Diceros bicornis minor: one gene and its partner. The protein of the gene in region 1 binds, or shares a complex with, the protein of each later gene. Links are inferred from orthologs where the notes say so. Each region holds a gene or a part of one and is shown in the gene's direction. Other genes may lie near its edges. The genes, in order: TERT and GAR1.

The links.
Region 2: TERT (region 1) and GAR1 share a complex: the UniProt entries of both Homo sapiens proteins name them as parts of the telomerase holoenzyme complex. The link is inferred for Diceros bicornis minor from reciprocal best matches to the Homo sapiens genes TERT and GAR1.

What each region holds. Positions count from the first base shown.
Region 1 is NC_080759.1:61,426,149-61,435,568, forward strand, and holds the start of TERT (telomerase reverse transcriptase), read left to right. Parts: upstream 1-5,243; 5' UTR 5,244-5,246; coding exon 5,247-5,465; intron 5,466-5,606; coding exon 5,607-6,999; intron 7,000-9,420. UniProt on the Homo sapiens protein: Telomerase is a ribonucleoprotein enzyme essential for the replication of chromosome termini in most eukaryotes. Active in progenitor and cancer cells. Inactive, or very low activity, in normal somatic cells.
Region 2 is NC_080750.1:5,226,379-5,236,212, forward strand, and holds the start of GAR1 (H/ACA ribonucleoprotein complex subunit 1), read left to right. Parts: upstream 1-5,884; 5' UTR 5,885-5,946; coding exon of another isoform or gene 5,947-6,305; intron 6,306-6,390; exon of another isoform or gene 6,391-6,394; 5' UTR 6,395-6,406; coding exon 6,407-6,611; intron 6,612-8,089; coding exon 8,090-8,244; intron 8,245-8,712; coding exon 8,713-8,772; intron 8,773-9,834. Other genes in the region: CFI (complement factor I), read right to left, coding at 5,551-5,884, 5,947-6,305. UniProt on the Homo sapiens protein: Required for ribosome biogenesis and telomere maintenance. Part of the H/ACA small nucleolar ribonucleoprotein (H/ACA snoRNP) complex, which catalyzes pseudouridylation of rRNA.

The sequences.
Region 1 (9,420 bases):
GGGAGTGGGTGTTCACAAAGGGAGTGATGAAAGGACTTAATTCTGTCAGTAAATTCTACCTTTCCACATCCCAGTGGATCATTTTATCTTACTGCTTTCTTAAATTTCATCAAATGACTTTCAAGAGTGCAGAAACCCACAGGCGTGCAACCGGGACCAAGCTGTGTTTGCCAAGGTGCAGGGACTGAGGATCGCGTGCAAAGGGATTTTTAGCCTTGAGCACATTTTATTGGTTTTCATAAGGTGATTTAAGGTGCGGGAGAAAGTATACAGAGACCTGGAAATAGATCAGGACGGATTAATGGGGCAGAGCTGCCAAGGGCAGAAGGTAAACGCCTCGTCTGCCAAGACAGTGGGGAAACATGGCTGTTTTCCCTGGGCACTGCCAGACCCAGCGAGGCTCTGGCAGCAGAGCTTGGCGTCAACCCAGGACTCTGACGCCCAGGCAAGCCATGTCCCCAGAGGCCCCCCCAACTCGCTGCCTTTCTCCTGGCTGTGCTGTGTCTCCCCAACCAGTGGGTGTGTGGGGGTACACTGGCCTTGGACTCCACAGTCCCAGCTCTGCCCCAAACGATCGGGATTTTCAGGAACCACCCGCTCCGAGCCTGTGAGAAAGGACGATGGCACCGTCCACCTGCTTCCCGGGGCTGCTCAGAGACAAGGAGCTCGTGGGCACGAAATCTCCGTGAGTCGTAAAGCTCTATACAAGCGAAGGCCATTATTCCTAGTTATTTATCTCTTCCACTAAGACTTAAAGGAGTGTTCCAGGAACCCCTGCAGGTAAGACAAACCACGCAAAGCAGAGGCAGAAACAATCTCTGCTTCACTGTGCTCCCGGGACCTGCCCGGACTCCTGAGTGAAGAACCTGGGGAGAAAATAAAACGGGGGTGCTCTGAGCCCCCAGGATGGGGTCATAACAGCAGCGGAGCATTGGGTTCCCTAGATTCAGGGAACCTGGGAGACAGAGGACAGACTCCGAGGTTCCGTAGGGCAGCCCCCCCTACGTGGGGGTCCATGCTACCAGGGACGGGGCTCCGTGTCGTCTGCTCCATCCGCCTCCCAATGAACCCCTTGGCTCTCCCTCGGGCCCACACGGAGGTCAGGCCCCTCTGCCCCTCTCTGCTTCTCCAGAAAACACTTCCTACACCCAGGTCCATAAACCTGCCTCATGGCTTTCTCTCGCCTCTCACCCCACGCCTGGTTGCAACAACAGTGCTTCTTAGGTTGTCTTTCTCCTAGGCCAACATCCTCTGAGCCAGAACCAGCCTCGAGCCCCAAGCGCAGGTCCTGGTGTCTTGGCCTGGCGCTCTGGCTCAGTCAGCGCCCTGCCACCCCCCCCAGGACCCCTCCCACAGTCTGCATTGTCGGGGCCCCTCAGGACCACGTGAGAGGCACTACACCCCACAGAGAGGCTACAGTGAAAAATCGTGACACCACCAGTGCTGGCAAGGACAGAGGAATGGGAGTTCACACACGTGGCTGGTGGGAATGCAGAATGGCACAGCCCCTCTGGAAAACAGTGTGGTGGTTTCCATAAACACTAAACAATACGACCCAGCAATTGCACTCCTGGGCATGTACCCCGGAGTAATGAAAATGTATGTAATTATGTACAAAATCCCGTCTACAAAGGTTCATAGCAGCTCTATGTGTAATAGCTTGAAAGGCGGGAAAACTAAATGTCCCTCAACAGGCGAACGGTTAAATTAACCGTGCACACCCACACCTCGGAATGAAGGCTGCTCCGAGACATGAGGGAGGTGGACCATCGACACACCACAGCTACACGGAGAGAGAAAGCCAATCTTGGAAGCTCACGTGACACAATGCCATTTATACAGCCTTCTTGAAATGACACAGTTTCACCCCAGAGCAGGCTGGTGGTCACCAGGGGTCAGGGAGGCCGGGAGGGCTGTGAGTGCAGCAGGGGCAATCCTGGAGGTGGTGGGACAGTCCGCATCTTGGTGGTGGTGCTGGTCACACAAATCTACACAGGAGATAAGATGACGTCGACCTGTACACACTCACCACGCGCCCAGGTTAGTGAGTTACGGGGGGTTAACCACTGGGGTGCTGGGGGGCCCAAGGCAGAACTGGGCCCTCTCAGCAGCTGTACTGTCTCTGCCACGCTGTGTCATGGGCAGACTGATGCCCCAAAGATGGCACATCCTAGTCCTGGCACCCGTGTGACCTCACCTGGCACAGGACTACGCAGATGGGAGTACGTTAAGGATTTTGAGGTGGGGGCATGGCCCTGGATCATCCGGATGGCCCTACATCAATCTGAAGGTCCTTGTGAGAGGCGGCAGGAGGGTCAGGGTCACAGAGGGAGATGTGATGATGGAGGCAGAGGGTCACAGAGAGCTTGGAGGATGCCTCGTTGAAGGCTCCACCAGGGAGCGAGAGGGTCAGGGCAGCACCAGGGGGCCTGCCTGTCTGTCCCAGTGTCCTGTCCTCCTGCCCCAGTGCTGGGCTTGGGATTGCACCTGCCTTTCTGTCAGCAAGGGCACGGTGTTGACCCCAGTCTTTGTTATGCTACCCCCTTTGTGGTCAGCTTCCATGAGGACAGAAGCCCGTGTGCATCCTGTGATGGGGCACTGGGTCTGTTCTGGCCGCTGAGACCTGTCTGGATCCCGATTCTGCTGTCCCACGTCTTGGCTCCTCCCCCAGCGGCAGGTCTGAGACACAAGCCACGTGCTCCCCCAGGACACTGCCAAGAGGGTGCCAGGCGGGGTGTGCGAGGTGCCCCAGGCGTGCCATCGGGTGGGTGTGGGGCAGTGCATGGCAGTCACTACCCTCCCCGTGCTGCCCTCCAGAGCCGGCTCTCCTGCCACCCCAGCCCCCGAGCCCTCAGTCCAGTCACTGTGACCCAGGAGCCACGTGGTGCCCCATGAACACTGAGCCCATGCACGGACCAACGCCGACCACTTACTCAGACGTGACCCTGTGCTCGTCACCGCACAGCCTGGAGGTGACGGATTCTATTTCCTCCCCATGCTCGGGGCTCAGCCTCTGTGGGTTTCTCTGTGATCTGCAGACCAGGGACCAGTGGCCTGTTGGTGTCTCTACAGGTTCTTGGAGCAACCAGAAAGGGGCAGCCCGCAGTCCAGCGGGGGCTCCCTGACTGTCTCTGCAGGGGACCCCCAATGTCCAGGTACTGGGCACACTGTTGAAAATCTCTTCATGTCGGTCCCCCTAGTTCCTTAGTGAGCCCCTCACTCACGCAGGGGGCTCCTCCCACTCCTTCAGTGACCGATGATGCATCAGGAAGCAGCAGGTGTGAAGTGTGACGCCCACGTCCCCTTCTGGAAGTCCTAGAACGGGATTTCGCTGTTGTATTTCTCGTAAGCCAACAACATACATTTTTTCTTGGTACGTTTTTCATGTCTGAAGACACAGTGATTTAAGACCGTGACCAGTTTCTCGCAGAGAGAAACCGTGCACAGGACACTGGAGGGAGCATTCCAGAGGGCGACGATTTCCATCTGAGCTGTATACTGACACACTGTTCATCACGCTAGCATGGTTTTCTGCCTCGGTTTCCTCTATTCTTTTTTTTTTTAATTATGTTTTCCATGCTGGTTTCTCCAGGTGAACCAGCGTACTGTTGTTGGAAAAGAGCAAATTTCCCGGAAGCAGCCCAAATCCTCCAGTGGCAGAATGAGCAGTTCTCAAACGCAGCCTTGGGCCTTGACCGTGCCCACTAGACACACTTCTGTCTAGAACAACAGCCCCGATCCCAAGTCGCATGAGCCCTGGCAGACCCTGATCCAGCAGACAAATATGAGACGCCGTCTGTCCAGGGAAGAGAGTGGAGGCTTGTTTAAATGCCACAGCCTTGAATACAATTTCCTGACTGGGTTTCTTACCTCGTGAAAGATTAACATTTGTTCAGCCTGTTCACTGTTTGCCACGGGCCTCTGGAGACCCAGAAGTTTCCCCATTTCTTAGCGACGCACACGTGAACATCCCACAGTGTCTGGGTTCGGGTGGAATCTCATTATGGTGACTCCTCTAAGCTGTCCTGTTCATGTGACGAGCCATTGTCAAAACTGCCCTCCTGGGTCTGGGGAGGGGCGACTCGTGGGGAGGGTCTCCACCCCTTGGCTGCAAGGCGGGGGCTTCTGGCTCTCTCTGGGGCACTGCAAGGCTGTAGGCGGATCCCTTGACCTGTCCAGTCTCCTCTTCCTCCCAGTGTGTGGGAGGGCAGGTGGTTCTGGGGGCTCGGGGATGAAGGCAGCCATGGGCAGGTGACACCACATTGGGAGCCTGCGGCTCCATTTTCTCTCCTTCCTTTGGTGGATGACCTCATGATCATTGATTATTAGGGAACTGATTTGGGGTTTTTGTGTATGGTTGGGACCACAACAGAAGCCTAAGAACCCGGAAAGAGAAACTACAGCCCGGGATCAAGGAGACCAAGTCGTCAGGGGAAGTACTGCACTGACCGCTGACCACTGCCAGCTGACTGCTGCCCACTGACCACGTGGCAAGGCCTGCCCACTGCACGCTGACCATTGACCGCTGACCACTGCCCACGGCGGGAAGAGCTCCGGGAGCACCACCTCATGCCCGTCGAGGATGCGCCTTTGCCCTCAGTTTCCCCCAACCCCGCCAGGCGGGAGCAGCGGTGTCCATTTTCTCCTTTCCAACGCACCTCATGACACGTTCGCTGTCTTGCTCCTTCCAAACCCCTTCTGCAGGACCCCAGAGCAGCCCTCTGTGCCAGGGTCACGGCCCACGTGAGAAAGTGACAACCCAGAAGGACCCTCTCCCCAGGGGGCGCAGAGCGCACCAGGTCCCTCAGGGACCCACGTTATGGTCCCCTCTCTCGGGTAACCCCCAGAGCCTCTCCGCCGTGAGACCCTTGCTGCGACCCCTGCACCCTGGGATGGGTGAGGGGGCTGCCAGGGTGCAGCTGGGCGGTGGGGGCACGCCGGGTCCTCGATGACACCTGGACGCGGGAATCCGCGGGCCGCAGGGAGGGCAAAGGCCGAGCACCTGCCTCCCGCGACCCCGCCCCTCGGGCCCGGCCAGACCCCGCCCCCGGGCGCTGGGCGACCCGGCCCCTTCCTCCCTCCAGCCCCGCCCCTCCGCGCGGCCCCCGCCGGGCCCCGCCCCTTCCTCCGTGCGGACCCGCCCCCGCCCCGACCCTCCCTCTGCCGCGCCGTGCTCAGGTGGATGCAGCTCGCGCTGCAGCCGCGTGTCTGCGCACGTGGAGCCCCGGCCCCCGCCCTCGCCTGCGATGCCGCGCGCGCCCAGGTGCCGGGCCGTACGCGCCCTGCTGCGGGGCCGCTACCGCGAGGTGCTGCCACTAGCGACCTTCATGCGGCGCCTGGGGCCCGAGGGCCGGCGGCTCGTGCGGCGCGGGGACCCGGAGGCCTTCCGCGCGCTGGTGGCCCAGTGCCTGGTGTGCGTGCCCTGGGACTCGCAGCCGCCCCCCGCCGCCCCGTCCTTCCGCCAGGTGGGCTGTCCCCGGGGACCTGGGTCGGGCGTGCAGGAGTTGGGGAGGGAGGGCCGTGAGGAACACGGCAGGACGCGGGCTGTGCGCCCCGGGTTCCCGGTCACCTTTGTCCCCGGCGAGTCAGAGCCCCCCCTCCCGCAGGTGTCCTGCCTGAAGGAGCTGGTGGCCAGGGTCGTGCAGAGGCTCTGCGAGCGCGGTGCGCGGAACGTGCTGGCCTTCGGCTTCGCGCTGCTGGACGGGGCCCGCGGCGGGCCGCCCGTGGCCTTCACGACCAACGTGCGCAACTACCTGCCCAACACGGTGACCGAGACGCTGCGCAGCAGCGGCGCATGGGGGCTGCTGCTGCGCCGCGTGGGCGACGACGTGCTTACCCACCTGCTGGCACGCTGCTCACTCTACCTGCTGGTGGCCCCGAGCTGCGCCTACCAGGTGTGCGGGCCGCCGCTCTACGATCTCTGCACCACCGCCGCGGCTCGGCCTGCCTCGTCTCCCTGCCGCCGGCCCACGCCACACGCGGGCGAGAGCCGGACGGGCCTCCGACCCACGCGCCAGACCTGGAACGGCGGCGACGTGGGGGCCAGGGGACCCCCAGGGCCACCAGCCCGGAGCGGGAGGCGGCGTCGGGTCAGCTCTGGGGGAAGTCCACCTCCAGCCAAGAGGCCCAGGCGTGGCCTAGCTGGGGAGCCGGAGCAGGGGCCCGTCGGGCAGGTGTCCCGGGCGCACCTGGGCAGGGCACGTGGGCCAAATGACACCGATCCCCACGTGGTGACACCTAGAGAAACCGCCGTGGAAGCCGCGTCTTGGGAGGGCGAACCGCCGAGGACCCGTCTCCCCGTCCCCCCTCTGCACCGAGAGCGCGAGGCCGGCTCCCCACCCACGCGGCGGTCACCGCGGCCCCGGGGCGCACACGATCCCCGAGTGTATGTCGAGACCAAGCACTTCCTCTACTGCTCTGGCGGCAAGGAACGGCTGCTCCCTTCCTTCCTGCCCAGCTGCATGCAGCCCAGCCTGGCAGGGGCCCGGAGACTCGTAGAGACCATCTTTCTGGGCTCGAAGCCCGGGCGGCCAGGGCCTTCCCGCAGGACGCGCCGCCTGCCCGCGCGTTACTGGCGGATGAGGCCCCTGTTCCGGGAGCTGCTTGGGAACCATGCGCGGTGCCCCTATGGCGCGCTCCTCAGGACGCACTGTCCGCTGCGGGGCGTGGCCACCCCAGCAGGGTCCGCTGACCAGGGGTGCGGTGGAGTGGGCGTCAGCGCCCGGGAGAGGCCAGCGGCGGCCCCGGAGGAGGACGCAGGCCCGCGGCGCCTTGTCCAGCTGCTCCGCCAGCACAGCAGCCCCTGGCAGGTGTACGCGTTCCTGCGGGCCTGTCTGTGCCGGCTGGTGCCTGCTGGCCTCTGGGGATCCAGGCACAACGAGCGCCGCTTCTTGAGGAACGTGAAGAAGTTCGTCTCTCTGGGGAAGCACGCCAAGCTCTCCTCGCAGGAGCTGACCTGGAAGATGAAAGTGCAGGACTGCGCCTGGCTGCGGAGCCCAGGTGAGGAGCCCGGGGAGGAGGCGGCGGCCCTGCAGCATCAGGCCCCCACCCGGAACGCAGCAGAGCCCCTCCCTACGCGGGTAACCCCACCTGTGGCTGTCGGGTGGCTCATCTGATTTCTCTGCCTCTGATCCCCTCTCCCATCTAGTTTTCATAAAACTGTAAGACCCACGTATAAACCTACGAGACCCTCATGGACTCAGGCAGGTTCTGGCAGACAGCAGATGGGACACACGTGGAGTAGGGCTCTGGCAGCAGACAGAAGTGTCCGAAGTTCTCCTCAGCGGGCCGACGGGTTATTCAGGATCCCTTTTTTGACATCAGGGTTTATCACCTTGAAATGGTGCCCCACTGATAGAAATGGGAGCTGGGAGATAAGCCTCCTGAGTTTCCTGGACACACCTGCTCAGCCACGCCTGCTCAGCCACGCCTGCTCAGCCAGCGTACAGATCTGAATTTAAGTTTTGATGTGTGTCTGCTGTGCCTGGGCAGGGCAGACAGAGGAGGGTAGAAGAACTGTCTCCTGAACAAGGACCCAGTCCCATCTTTAGGAAGGAAAGGGTCACCAGGGCGACGGGAGCGGCAGGGCTCTCCTGTTTCAGGGAAGTGGCCACCACCAAGGGTGCTGGCGGGGCTGCAGCTGGGGCTGCAGTGTCCCTCCGGCTTTGATTTTCTCGGTTTGATGTTGAGGTTCCTCTGGTCCAGCCACCACTCAGCCCCCTCTCTCCCAGTGCCTTCCTGGTGGGCACACCAACACCACGAGTGGACAGGACCAGCCACCACCCTCCTCTCCCTGATGGTGCAGCAGCGGCCAGCATGGGCCCCAGTGTTTTCGGCTTGACCCCCCCCCAAACTCCCACAACACCCAGGACTCCTAGAAGAAAGAATGGCAGAGCCTTCGTCAGAGCCACGTCTGCCCATGGGCTGCACGTTACAGTCTCCTGGGGTGGGGACTTTAAATATGCCCCGCCCATCCCCAAAGATCTCGATTGCCATGGCCTCCGTTGGGGGGTGCGGGGCACACCCTTTCTGGCTCCCCAAGAGGCTCTGCGGCCAGGTGATGCGGACGAGGTGACCTTCCAGCAACTGGGTTTTTTAAGGTTTTTTTGTTAATTGTGGGGGGGAAAAACACATGAGGTCTGCCCTCCTAACAGATGTTTAAGGGTACGGAACGGTATTGCTGAGTGTAAGCGCGGCGTCGTACTGCTGGTCTCTCTGGTGTTCTCATCTTGCGTGACTTGGCGCCTGTTGGCCAGCAGTCCCTGCCACATGTGACAGCGTGGATGAGCTGGGAAGGCGTCATGCTCAAATGTGTTGTCACATGACTCGTTTGTGCCCTTGGGGCTCCAGTTTGCTTTGAAAGGAGAGTCTGGGTTCTGTAATTTGGCTCCCCGATTTCAGATGAGGTCTGCCGTGCCCCTGTGTCCTGTGGGCACGAGGAGGTGTTGTTTCCCAGGCAGCTGGGACCCAGCCCCTGGACCACCCGGCATCCTCGCTGGCTTGAGCTGTGCCCAGGCGTGTGCCCCTTTCCGTGGCTGTGGCCCCGCGGTTGCCTACTGTCTGAATAAATGATGCACAGTATGGCGTTGGCCTCTGAGCCCCCTTTCCTGGTCACCTCTTCCGTCCTTTCCTGCTGGGACGCCCCTTCCTCTGTGCAGGTCGTCTGCCCTGCCAGGCACTCCATCAGCCCCCCTGGGCTCATTTGCCTCTGTCAAGCCAGCCTTGACCATTGTCCTGTCTGCTTGCTGCCCACTGACTCCCCTCGGCTCTCTGGTCCCCAGCGCTGGAGGCCAGACTTCTGGGGAGTCCACATCTGCTGTCAAGTGTTGCTAGAGATGTTGAAAAAAGGATTCCTGATGGCAACTCGGAGGTGCCTTGGCCCCTTGCTCACTGCCTCTCCCCTGGGCCCCTCATTGGGCTGGTGGCAACCTTTGCTCTCTTAGCCTGGGCGCAGATCAGGCTGCGCTCTGCCTCCACTGGCCCTGTCCCATCAACTGACATCTGACCACACGATCACTCTCCCTAAACTGTGGTCAGGGTGTATCCCTCCTGCTGAGGCCCCCTTGACCTTCAGAGTGGAGCCCCCATGTCCAGGGGGCCTTGTCGGGCCTCTCATGGATCTTTGTTTGAACTTGGCTAAGTTCTCTCTGGGGGTGAAGTTCTTTCTGGGGTGACATCCTTCCCTCTCTTTCTTCAGGGTCACTCAGTCATCCCACTTCTAACTTCTCCGGTGAGCATTTGGCTATGTGTTTCCCTCTCAGTGCTGCTTTAGCTGCACCCCACATTGGGCTGTGTCACTGCACATTTTGATATCAATTGGTTTTAAGTGTTTTCTAGCTTCTGTGATTTCTTCTTTGATCACGAGTTATTTAGATGTGTGTTTTTTATTGTGCAAATGGATGAGTATTTTAAATTATCTTT
Region 2 (9,834 bases), on another chromosome or scaffold:
TAATTTGGGAATATTCTACATGGACGATTATTAACTGATACTAAGGAATTATTACTTTCGTTAGGTATAATAATGGTTTTGTGCTTATGTTTAAAAAGTCCTCTGCTGGAGATTTATGGATGAAATGCTATCTGGGGCTTAGTACAAAATACTCTAGCAAAAACCAAATATATATAAATATATAAATAATGAGGGGACAGATGAAGCAAGATTTGCAAAAGCTGGTAATTGTTGAAGCTGGATTATTGGCACATAGAGGTTAATTGCACTGCTCTCTCAACTTTTGTTTATGTTTGAAATTTTAATAATAAAAATTTTTTAAAAAGAAAGTCACGAGTTTATATTAATGTTTCCAATTTAATGGCAACTTGGCTAAGTCCTTTTAAAATTTTGTTCCAATAAAAAGTTTTTCAGCCCTTGCTCTTCTCTGTCATTCACAACATCTCCTTAGCAAGTATTTTAACTAGATTTCCTAGCCTTTTAGTAACACAGCTGGATGTATGCCTCCTTAGATCTCGGACCCCAGATTAGGCTGTGCTTGTACCCTTTCTCTTTTTCCCACATCTCTTTGTAATCTCTTTGTCCATCATTCTATAGTCATTTGTTGACAAGCAGAATCTTAATGGATGGGCAGATGTTCAAAGTATAGAGAATAGCTCAGTTCAGTTCAACAAATACTTACTGGGCATCAGTTTGTTTTTACAGGCACTGTGCTAAGTGCTTAGGACACCAAAACACATAAGATGTAGTTCCCCTCTTCAGGAGCTTACAGTCTAGTGCAGATTTCTCAGTTGGGGTTCTGCAGATGTCATTAGGGGTTCTATGAGAGGTAGTTGCTAGGGGTTCTAGAAGAGACTGGAAAAAAAATTTTAAGTTTTGAATTTCCTTCTCCATGCAATGCCAGTGATTGCAGTGATGAATAGTAGTTAAGCAGCCCTGTTAATAATTGTGCTGGAGGTCGTTCACCTATATGGCAGTGCTCCAAATGACTGTGCTCCTTTGATTGAGTCCATTCTCAGTTTCTGATGCAAGATGGGGGAGGCTGTTGATAACTGGTGAGTGCAGAATTGTAAGGAGAGAGGGATGATAGACTGATGGCATCAGCCTCTCCTTCTTGACCCATCTCCTATCCTCCCCCAGCCTCCCTTTACCCAGAGCCAGGTGAGAGCAAACACGCGTTCCTGATGATAGAAAACCAAGGGGTAAACTTGAATTCTTAGGAAAGACTCTGTAAGTACTGTGACTCAGATGCCTCCCTGCTGCTTTGTAATGTTGTAAATATTGCAAAACATGGAGCTTACAGGTTAGAAGTGAATTGTATTACAAAGATTTCACTTTTCTTTTGTGATTTACTTATTCAGCTTGCTTGTTTTACACTTTATTAACAGTGTTTTACAAACATGACTTAGAGTCCAGTGTGGTGAGTTTTGAAGATGAAGGGGAGATGGAAGAGAATTCCAGGCCTAGGTAATTCTGACAAAAGTTAGTAATGACGAATCACAACGTAAAAATGCAGGAATGGCTGCAGCAAAAGTGATAAGGCACAACTACAAATCACAGTAAAGAAGCAAATAATTTTAAATGGTCTTTGGAATCCAAGAGTGAAAAATTGGTTTATCACCTTATTAAAAAGGTCCATAAGGCAAGTTATTAAGTAGCAGAACATTTTTGCTAAAAAAGGAAAAGGACCCATAGTTTGTAAGAACCTCACAATTCTAGTATGTAAATTTATAGAGACTAAAATGCTAGGATAAGACATAATATAAGAAACTAAAAAGTTTTCACTGTCAAAGTTTAATAAATTGCTATAATTAATGACATGTCACGTGACGCTGAAGAGATTTTTGTGTAATAAACCAAAAAATAACTTCATGGATGGATCAACAGATTTCAACAACAAATGTCATATGGCAGCACTTGTAAGATACGTCTATTGTGGTGAAATTCAAGTAAATTTTTCTGCTATAAAATGCTGCCCCAAACAAGCAAAGGCCAAGATACATTCACTATTTTGCCTTCACATTGGAAACAAAGGCGCAACTTGGAGGAAGCGTGTTGGCATTGGCACTGATGGTGCCTCATCAGTGATTAAAAGCATTTCTCCCTGAGAGGGTTCACTTTCATAAACAAGAAAACCCTGATGCACTGACAACACACTGCTTTCCTCCCAGAGAGGTGCTGGTGTCACACACTTTTGGAGCTGAAATGAAAAAAATTCTAGATGATGCTATAAAAATGGCCAAACTTATTAAAGGCCAGTTCACTCAAGAATGTTTTAAATACTGTGCAAAAATCTGGACAAAGACCACATAAATCTGCAGCCACATGCATAAAATCTGATGGCTTAGGAGATCATTTGCTCTGCGGGAAGCCAGCTGCCCTGTCATGAGAATGCTGCACTCTGTAAAGAGGCCCACATGGCAAGGAACTGAGTCTTCTTGGCAACAGAGAGAGAGCATTGGCTTGCGAGGCACGCGAGTGAGCCACCTCAGAAAGTGATCCTCCCTCCCCAGTCATGCCTTCAGGTGCCTGCAGCCCCAGTCAACATCTTGACTGCAGCCTCACAAGAGACCCTGAGCCAGACCCACCAACCTAAGCTGCTCCTGAATTTCTGACCCACAGAGAGTATGCAAGATAATGTTTATTGTTTTAAGCCACTAAGTGTTGGGTAATTTGTCACACAGCAAGAGAAACTAATACAGATTTTGGTTCTTAACAGAATGTTTGAGCTGAAAAGTGAACTGTGGGAATACCTTCAAGAAAACAGTAGGCTAGATTTTGCCAAATGCATTGAAGATCAAGAATGGCTGCACAAACTAGCCTACTTAGCAGACATTTTTCATCATACAAACTAGTTGAACAAGTATCTTCAAGGGCCTGGAGAAACTATTTTTATTTTAAGTGACAAGATTCTTGGTTTTAAGTGGAAACTGAATCTTTGGAAAAACCCTATGGCAAAAAGGAATCTTGAAATGTTTCCACCGGTGCTTGCATCTGAGAGTGAGGGAGTCTTGAGTCTCAAGTTGAGACCAAACCATTGGGGGAACTGCAGAACAAAACTGAACCGTGTTTCCCTCCCCTTTAACACAGGTGTATGACGGACTGAGGGCGTCTTTCTCTGAACCTTCTCCTCAGCCTGAGCACCTGACCTGGAGAGAAGAGGAAGCACTTTGTGAGTTGATGATTATAAACATAAGATGAAATTTACTGACTTCCCCTTTACAAGTTATGGATTTCTGTGAAAGAACATCCTGCCATTCACAGGAAAGTAATCAACATTTTGCTGTACTTTTCAACTTTTTACTCATGTGAGCAAGCTTTTTCTTGCCTAACAAGCATTAAGAACAAAGACAGAAATCATCTCATTTCAGTTGAAAATGAAATCTGTGTATGCCAGTCTCAAGATCAACTCAGAACTGAGCATATACATAGCAAAACACAAGCAAAGATGTCATTCTCAGTTAAATTTTGTTATTTTTTAGTTTCAAAAATAACACTTTTATGCGTATATAGGACTATAAGAGAGACGAACAATCATTAAAATCAATTTGCAATTTTTACTAAAGGAAAAAACAGAAGTTTCCTCTCCCACTTAATTTGCATCCGAGTTCATATCCTTTGTGAGGAGATGGAAATTACGGAGTAAGCTAATAAATTGGGAAAAAATAAGCAGACTCACAGAAAAATATCCTTCTCTACTCAAAAGGGCACTAAGTTGCACAGAAATGTGAATCACTGAACTATACACTTAAAAATGATCAATATGAGTTTACGTTATGTGTATTTTACAAGTAAAAAAAGAGCATTGACAGTTACTATTGGATCATTATGTCTATAACTTGTTGATCATGTTAACCTACCAGGATGTATATAATTTTTATGCAGGAGTTTCTGAGACATGAAAATTACTTCAAGGGTTTCTCCAGGGTAAAAAGAGAGAAAAAGGCTGGTCTAGTGGATGGGAAATGCACCTTTTCCAAGAGCAAGAGAAGCAAGGCAATGATGGAGCAGAGGGACTGTGTACAGCACAGGAGGGGAATAAGAAGGTCTAACTGATGGAGAGATTTTGCTTTAGACTTGTTGCTAAAGGAAACGGGGAGCTATCTGGAGTCCTGAGGATGGCTATGGTATGAGGAAACTGTTTTAGTACGGCCAGTAGGTCACCACGAGCAGTACAGATGGGAGGAAGAAGTTAAGCCTGGAAGCATTTATTCTGAGGCAACAAAGATGCTCAGAATGTGACAGGATGTTGTAGCTCACTGTTATTATTTCTGGACTTTTGAATTCTTGTAGATTATATTGGGTGATTTGGGGTAGGAATAACACAAGGAAGTGTGGTAGTGACACCAGGAGGCCTGTAACGGCAGTGCAAAGTGCAAAGCTACCTTAGAAGGAATTAATAGAAATTGATAGCTTTGGAAAAAAGAGACTGCAACCAAGGCTGGTGATAACAATGATAGAGAAGAGGGAGAGTGCTCAAGGTCTGAGTCCAAAGATTCAGACACCAGGATTATGATGCTACCATGAGGACAAACAGGGAATTGGGATGATGAAAAATTCGGGAAGAGGATGGCGGCAGCTGAAAATGACCGAGGACTGTGAGAATCCAAGGTTCTAGTTTGTCCCTCTAACTAGCTGGGGAAGTTACTTCACTTCTCTGAACGTCGGTTCCTTATACATAAAACAAAGGGGCACCAGGTAATCTGGAAGGTTCCATAAAAGTTCAATAGTTTCATCACACTGAGTTGGAGATAATAGTGGCATACCAAATGGAGATAGAAACACTGAACGTAAATGTTAAACGACACGAAAATTTTTTAGGAACAAAGCGAAATAGAGCAGAGTAGTTATGAATAATTCTACCTCTATATGATGTACATAATTTAATGTACACTTATCAAATCTGAACAAAAAATACATTCATCACATTCCTCTTATATATAGATAGGACTGTTAGATCCTTTCTCAAGAAGCTTATACTTTAGTGTAGAGGACATACTGTGACTCCTAATGTTTCCATAGAGAAGGTTACAAAGTTCTTTCAGAATCAAAATAACCCTCTGAAATAGGTACCACTCCCCACCCTCTTTCAAAGAAGAGGCGGTCGACCGTGTCCAATATCAACGTAAGGTCTCAGAAGATTCGGGTGTAAAAGAGACCAACTGAACTGAATAAACAGGAGGTCGCTGGCTTTCTCTAGGAGAGAAGCTTTAGCGGGAGCTGGAAACAGACAGCAAGGGCTTAAAGAGAGAAGGGGGGGGCTTGTGGAGACGGTGCGCCGCCGTCGGTGCTCGAAACCTACTCGACAAATGCATGAACTATCTGGTACAAAAGGTAAAGATACGGTTTGGCTTTCCATCAGATAACATAGTTTCTTTAAAAGTATACATACACACACGCGCGCGCGCATTTTTTCTTCAGTGACACCGCGGGACAAAAGCACGGCCCGGTTCAGCCCACAACCGCGCGTACTCAAAGGACCCGGCAGAAACAAGAGACTCGGCAGAGCCAGACGAGCCCTCCACTGCGTTCCCACGCGGCCAGACCCACCGCGGCACAGCCGCGGGAGCGGGCGACCACCCAAGGAGCGCGGGCACCCCCTCGCAACCTGGGAAGCAGGAGGCACGCCCGCCAGCCCGCAGCGCAAACCCCCGGGCCGCCGGGAGCGGGTAGACCCCCGACGCCGGCCGTCACCAGGGCAACAGCGCGCGGCACTTCCTGCAACGCCGCGAGGCAGAGGACGCCGCCATTATACGTCACTTCCTCTGTTCCTCGGTAGGCAAGTCGACGTGAGTGTCGTAAACTAGTGGTTGAAGTTAGATATTCTTGCGGCTCTTCCGCCGCTGACGGCTGCTTTGGAAAGGTGACAGCGGCACCGGTTCCGCTGGTGACCGGCTTTTATTTGTAAACCGCTTTCGAGTGCCTGGTCATTTCCCCCCCGCCCACCTTGTGCCAGTACGGTGGCTGAAGAGGCTCGCGGGCGGCGGAAGTACCGGGCGGTGGACGTGCGCACCCGGGCCGGAGGCGCACGTGGCCCCGGTGAGTGGCCGTGGGGAGCAGGGGGACCGTAGATGCTGGGCGCGGAGCCCGCTGCGGGCGGGAGGGACGGAGGGAGGGCGGCTTGGGCGTGAAGAGCGCGCGGCCTGCTGGAGGAGGAGGGACCAGCCAGGGGCGGCGAGTCTGCCGAGTGGTCGCGGCGCTCGCAGGGCTGTGGGGAGGTGACACGCCTCTCCCTTGGGGGTCCTCACTGGCGGCCTGGCCGTGGGCGACGTGCAGGGCTGATATGATGATGCTTGTCCCCTCATACGGGGTTCGGGCTGAGGCTCAAGGGAGGTAGGTGGTGTCCCCCGAGGCCCCAGTGACCGAAAGGCGCGCCGTTGTTCTCTCCAGGTAGGCTCTAGCGAGCATGTCTTTTCGAGGCGGAGGTCGTGGGGGCTTTAATCGAGGTGGAGGCGGCGGCTTCAGTCGCGGGGGCGGCAGCAACAACCACTTCCGAGGTGGAGGCGGCGGCAGTTTCAGAGGCGGCGGCGGCAGAGGAGGATTCGGACGAGGGGGTGGCCGCGGAGGCTTTAACAAAGGCCAAGACCAGGGACCTCCGGAACATGTGGTTTGTACGTCAGCTTCAAAGCTTAGCCTGCTCGGGGGTGGGGGGTGAGTGGGGTAGGGGGCGGATGCGCTGGGTTTGTTATTAGTGAGTTTGGCGGGAGTCAGGTGCTGAGAGCGATCCCGCAGCTGTCCTACGCAGGGTGCTGCGTGGTTGGGGAGGCAAGTCTGTGGAGATGCTGTAAACTGACTTATAATCCTGCTGTAGCATATAAGGGGAGCAGGAAAGCTCAGGGACACTTAGAATGCATCATGGAGGTGGAACTTGAGCTTGGGCTGAAAGGAAGATGTTAAATAGGTAATGTTGTGTGATTATACTTGTTGTCCCCATTTCACAGATAAGAAAACTGTCGTTCAGAATTAAATTTTTTTGCTAGGGTTATAGTTAGTGATGAGTGATCAGTGAGTGATATATTTGAGATACAAAGCCAAGTTTTCTGGCTCCAAAGCCCATGCTTTCAGTTACTACTCATAAGTAAGAGAAGTGAGGAAAAAAAATTTGCTTGGAAGGGAAACTACAGACGGGAAGTCAAGAAAAAAACCTAATTAGAGCAGTTAGGGGGTAATTATCAATGAGGTGGGATGGACTCTTGAGACAGAGATTTGACAGTAGCAGCCTACATCAAAGGGGAAAAAGGATGAGCAGAGTCTGTTATAAGGAATAGGCTGGACCAGGATGGAAGATCGTTTGAAGAGGGCAATGGCTAGAGTCAAAGGTCCTAGCCCACAAGCCATCACAATAGTCCATGCATGTGGCATTGAGAGCATCGTGTAAGTGAGAAGAAGAAGGAGGGGGTAGATGGGAGAGAGACTTCAGTGCAAACAGACTCAGTAGAACTTGGCTAATACTGGGAATAAATGGTTCCAGGTTTTGAGCTTGGGTGATAGGGATGGAGAGTTGGTTTTGAAGGCATGTGGTATTTCAGTTTGTGGTGACAGTCAGTTAAAAACAAAAGTAGTTATTTTGAAATTCCAGACTTCCCTGAAAGAGATTCCAGACTTCACCAAAAATTGGTGAAGAGATGGTTGTGGGAAGTTGTAAAAGGAGAGGAAAAAAAGACAGGAGAACAACAAAGACTGATGTACAGTTAGGGATTGGGGAGAAGGAAGAAGAGACAGTAGATTGAAGCATTTAATAAAATAATAATAGTTATTATTATAATAAATAACTTATAGGTTGAGTGATCTCAATGTGTGAGGCACTTTTCTAAGCACCTAATCCTCACAATACTATGTTAACATGTCGGTACTGTTATTAGCCCTATATTGAGGATGAAGACACTGAAGCAGAGATATGAGAACCTTAGCCTAGATCATGTAGCTAGTATGTTGTGGAGTTGGTTTACCAACCCAGGAAGGCTTTTCTGCCTCAGAGGAGAACAGATAGGGTGAAATCCCAGGCAGCCAAGAAGAGAGCTTCCAGAAGAGGTTGGTCAGTATCACTTGAAGTTGTTTTATATTTTAACGTTTTCTTGTCCTGTTTCAGTATTAGGAGAGTTCCTACATCCCTGTGAAGATGACATAGTTTGTAAATGTACCACAGATGAAAATAAGGTGCCTTATTTCAACGCTCCAGTTTATTTAGAAAACAAAGAGCAAATTGGAAAAGTGGATGAAATATTTGGACAACTTAGAGATTTTGTATCCTTTTTAATTGGAAGACCTCGTGATCTCATTGAAAGGTTACTATTTCCTTTTTCTGCTGCTGAGTATTGGTTAAATCAGACTTGCTGCTTCATTAAATTGGACAGAGTATTGCTGAGATTGGACCATAAAGGAGAATCAAGAGAGGAGAATGTATTGTCAAATATATTGAAAAGATAGGCCCTATAAGTGTGACTTCCTTTCTAGAAGGTTTTAGAAATAATTGCCATTTGGATAAGTGCTACAGGATTGAGATACTTTGCTTGGGATGTGCCGATGCCACTGAGTGGTGTGGTGGAATTGGAAGTTTTGAAACAAACAAAACTCATTTCCTCCTGGAAACTCATTTCTTACTTTTCCTAAATATTTCCATGTATTCTAATCTCGTTGTTTTTAAAATTATGTGTGAATTCAGAAGGTTACCTTCTTTGATCTTAATTGCTTATTCCTTAATAAAATTAATAGTATTTTTCAGTTAAATTGTCAGAAAACATGAAGGCATCTTCCTTTAAAAAGCTGCAGAAGGTGAGTCAAGCTTATGATCCCTAGGATCCTCGGTTTTATAAGTGAGTGGCCCCCTCAGGACAGTCCTACGTAGAGCGCTTGAGACTCCCCAGTGTGTCACTAGGCGTGCTCTACACTGAGATGTTCTGTGCTGTACACGCTGAACTTACTGATCCTTAGAAGTCCTTTAGTGCAGGCTTTCAGAAAGTATTCCTTGCTCACAGTAGCAAATTCTGTGACGGCTAGAGTATGTTTTTTAGTTTATGTAGAACTCTCTTATTGAAAAGCTTGCATGACCAAACATTCTAGGTAAAACATTAAATTATAAAACTTACATTGAAGTCAGATATTAAGTGGTTTCACAGATATTTCAATAACATGATATATGCTGTGAAGACGAAAGGTTGCTATGAGAATGTTACTGTTGGGACCACATTTAGTGTATTGGCTTTCTGAGGACAGGAGCTTGAAGCTGAGTCCTGAAAGGTGACTAGGAGTGATTCCCAAACCTGGTTGCACATCAGAATTATCTGGGGGAGCTTTTAAGAAGTTGTATTTCTAGGTCCCACCCCTAGAAATTTGACCCAGTAGGTTTTAGATAGGTAGGGACAAGGATTCAGTTTTAAAAAGGAAAGCTGGATGATTTTGATATCGTTAGGCTAGCACTTGGGAACCACCACGCTAGTCAGAGAGGAGGAGGAAGTGCATTACAAGAGAGAAAAGAGTATGTGCAAGTCTCTGAGAAACTCAGGCACCTTAGGGATCCAAAAAAGGCAGAGCTACAGCTTGGACATAGAACATTTAGGAGGAGTAGAGAAAGTTGTGAACTAAGACTGGAGAAGTAGGCTGGGGCTAAATTACTTAAGGCCTTCAGGTCATGGGAAAGAGTTTAGACTTTAGTTTTAGTTTTGCTTTTAAATATCAGGGCAAATACGGGTTAAATTTATACTTAAAAAGAGCACTGGAAAAATAAAAGACCCCTGGAAGGGAGTCAGTGCTGTATGTGAAGGGGCCGGGTTGGAGGCGTTGCATCAGTCCTGGAAGAGAGAATATTGTGGACTAGGGTAGTGACAGTGGAAATGG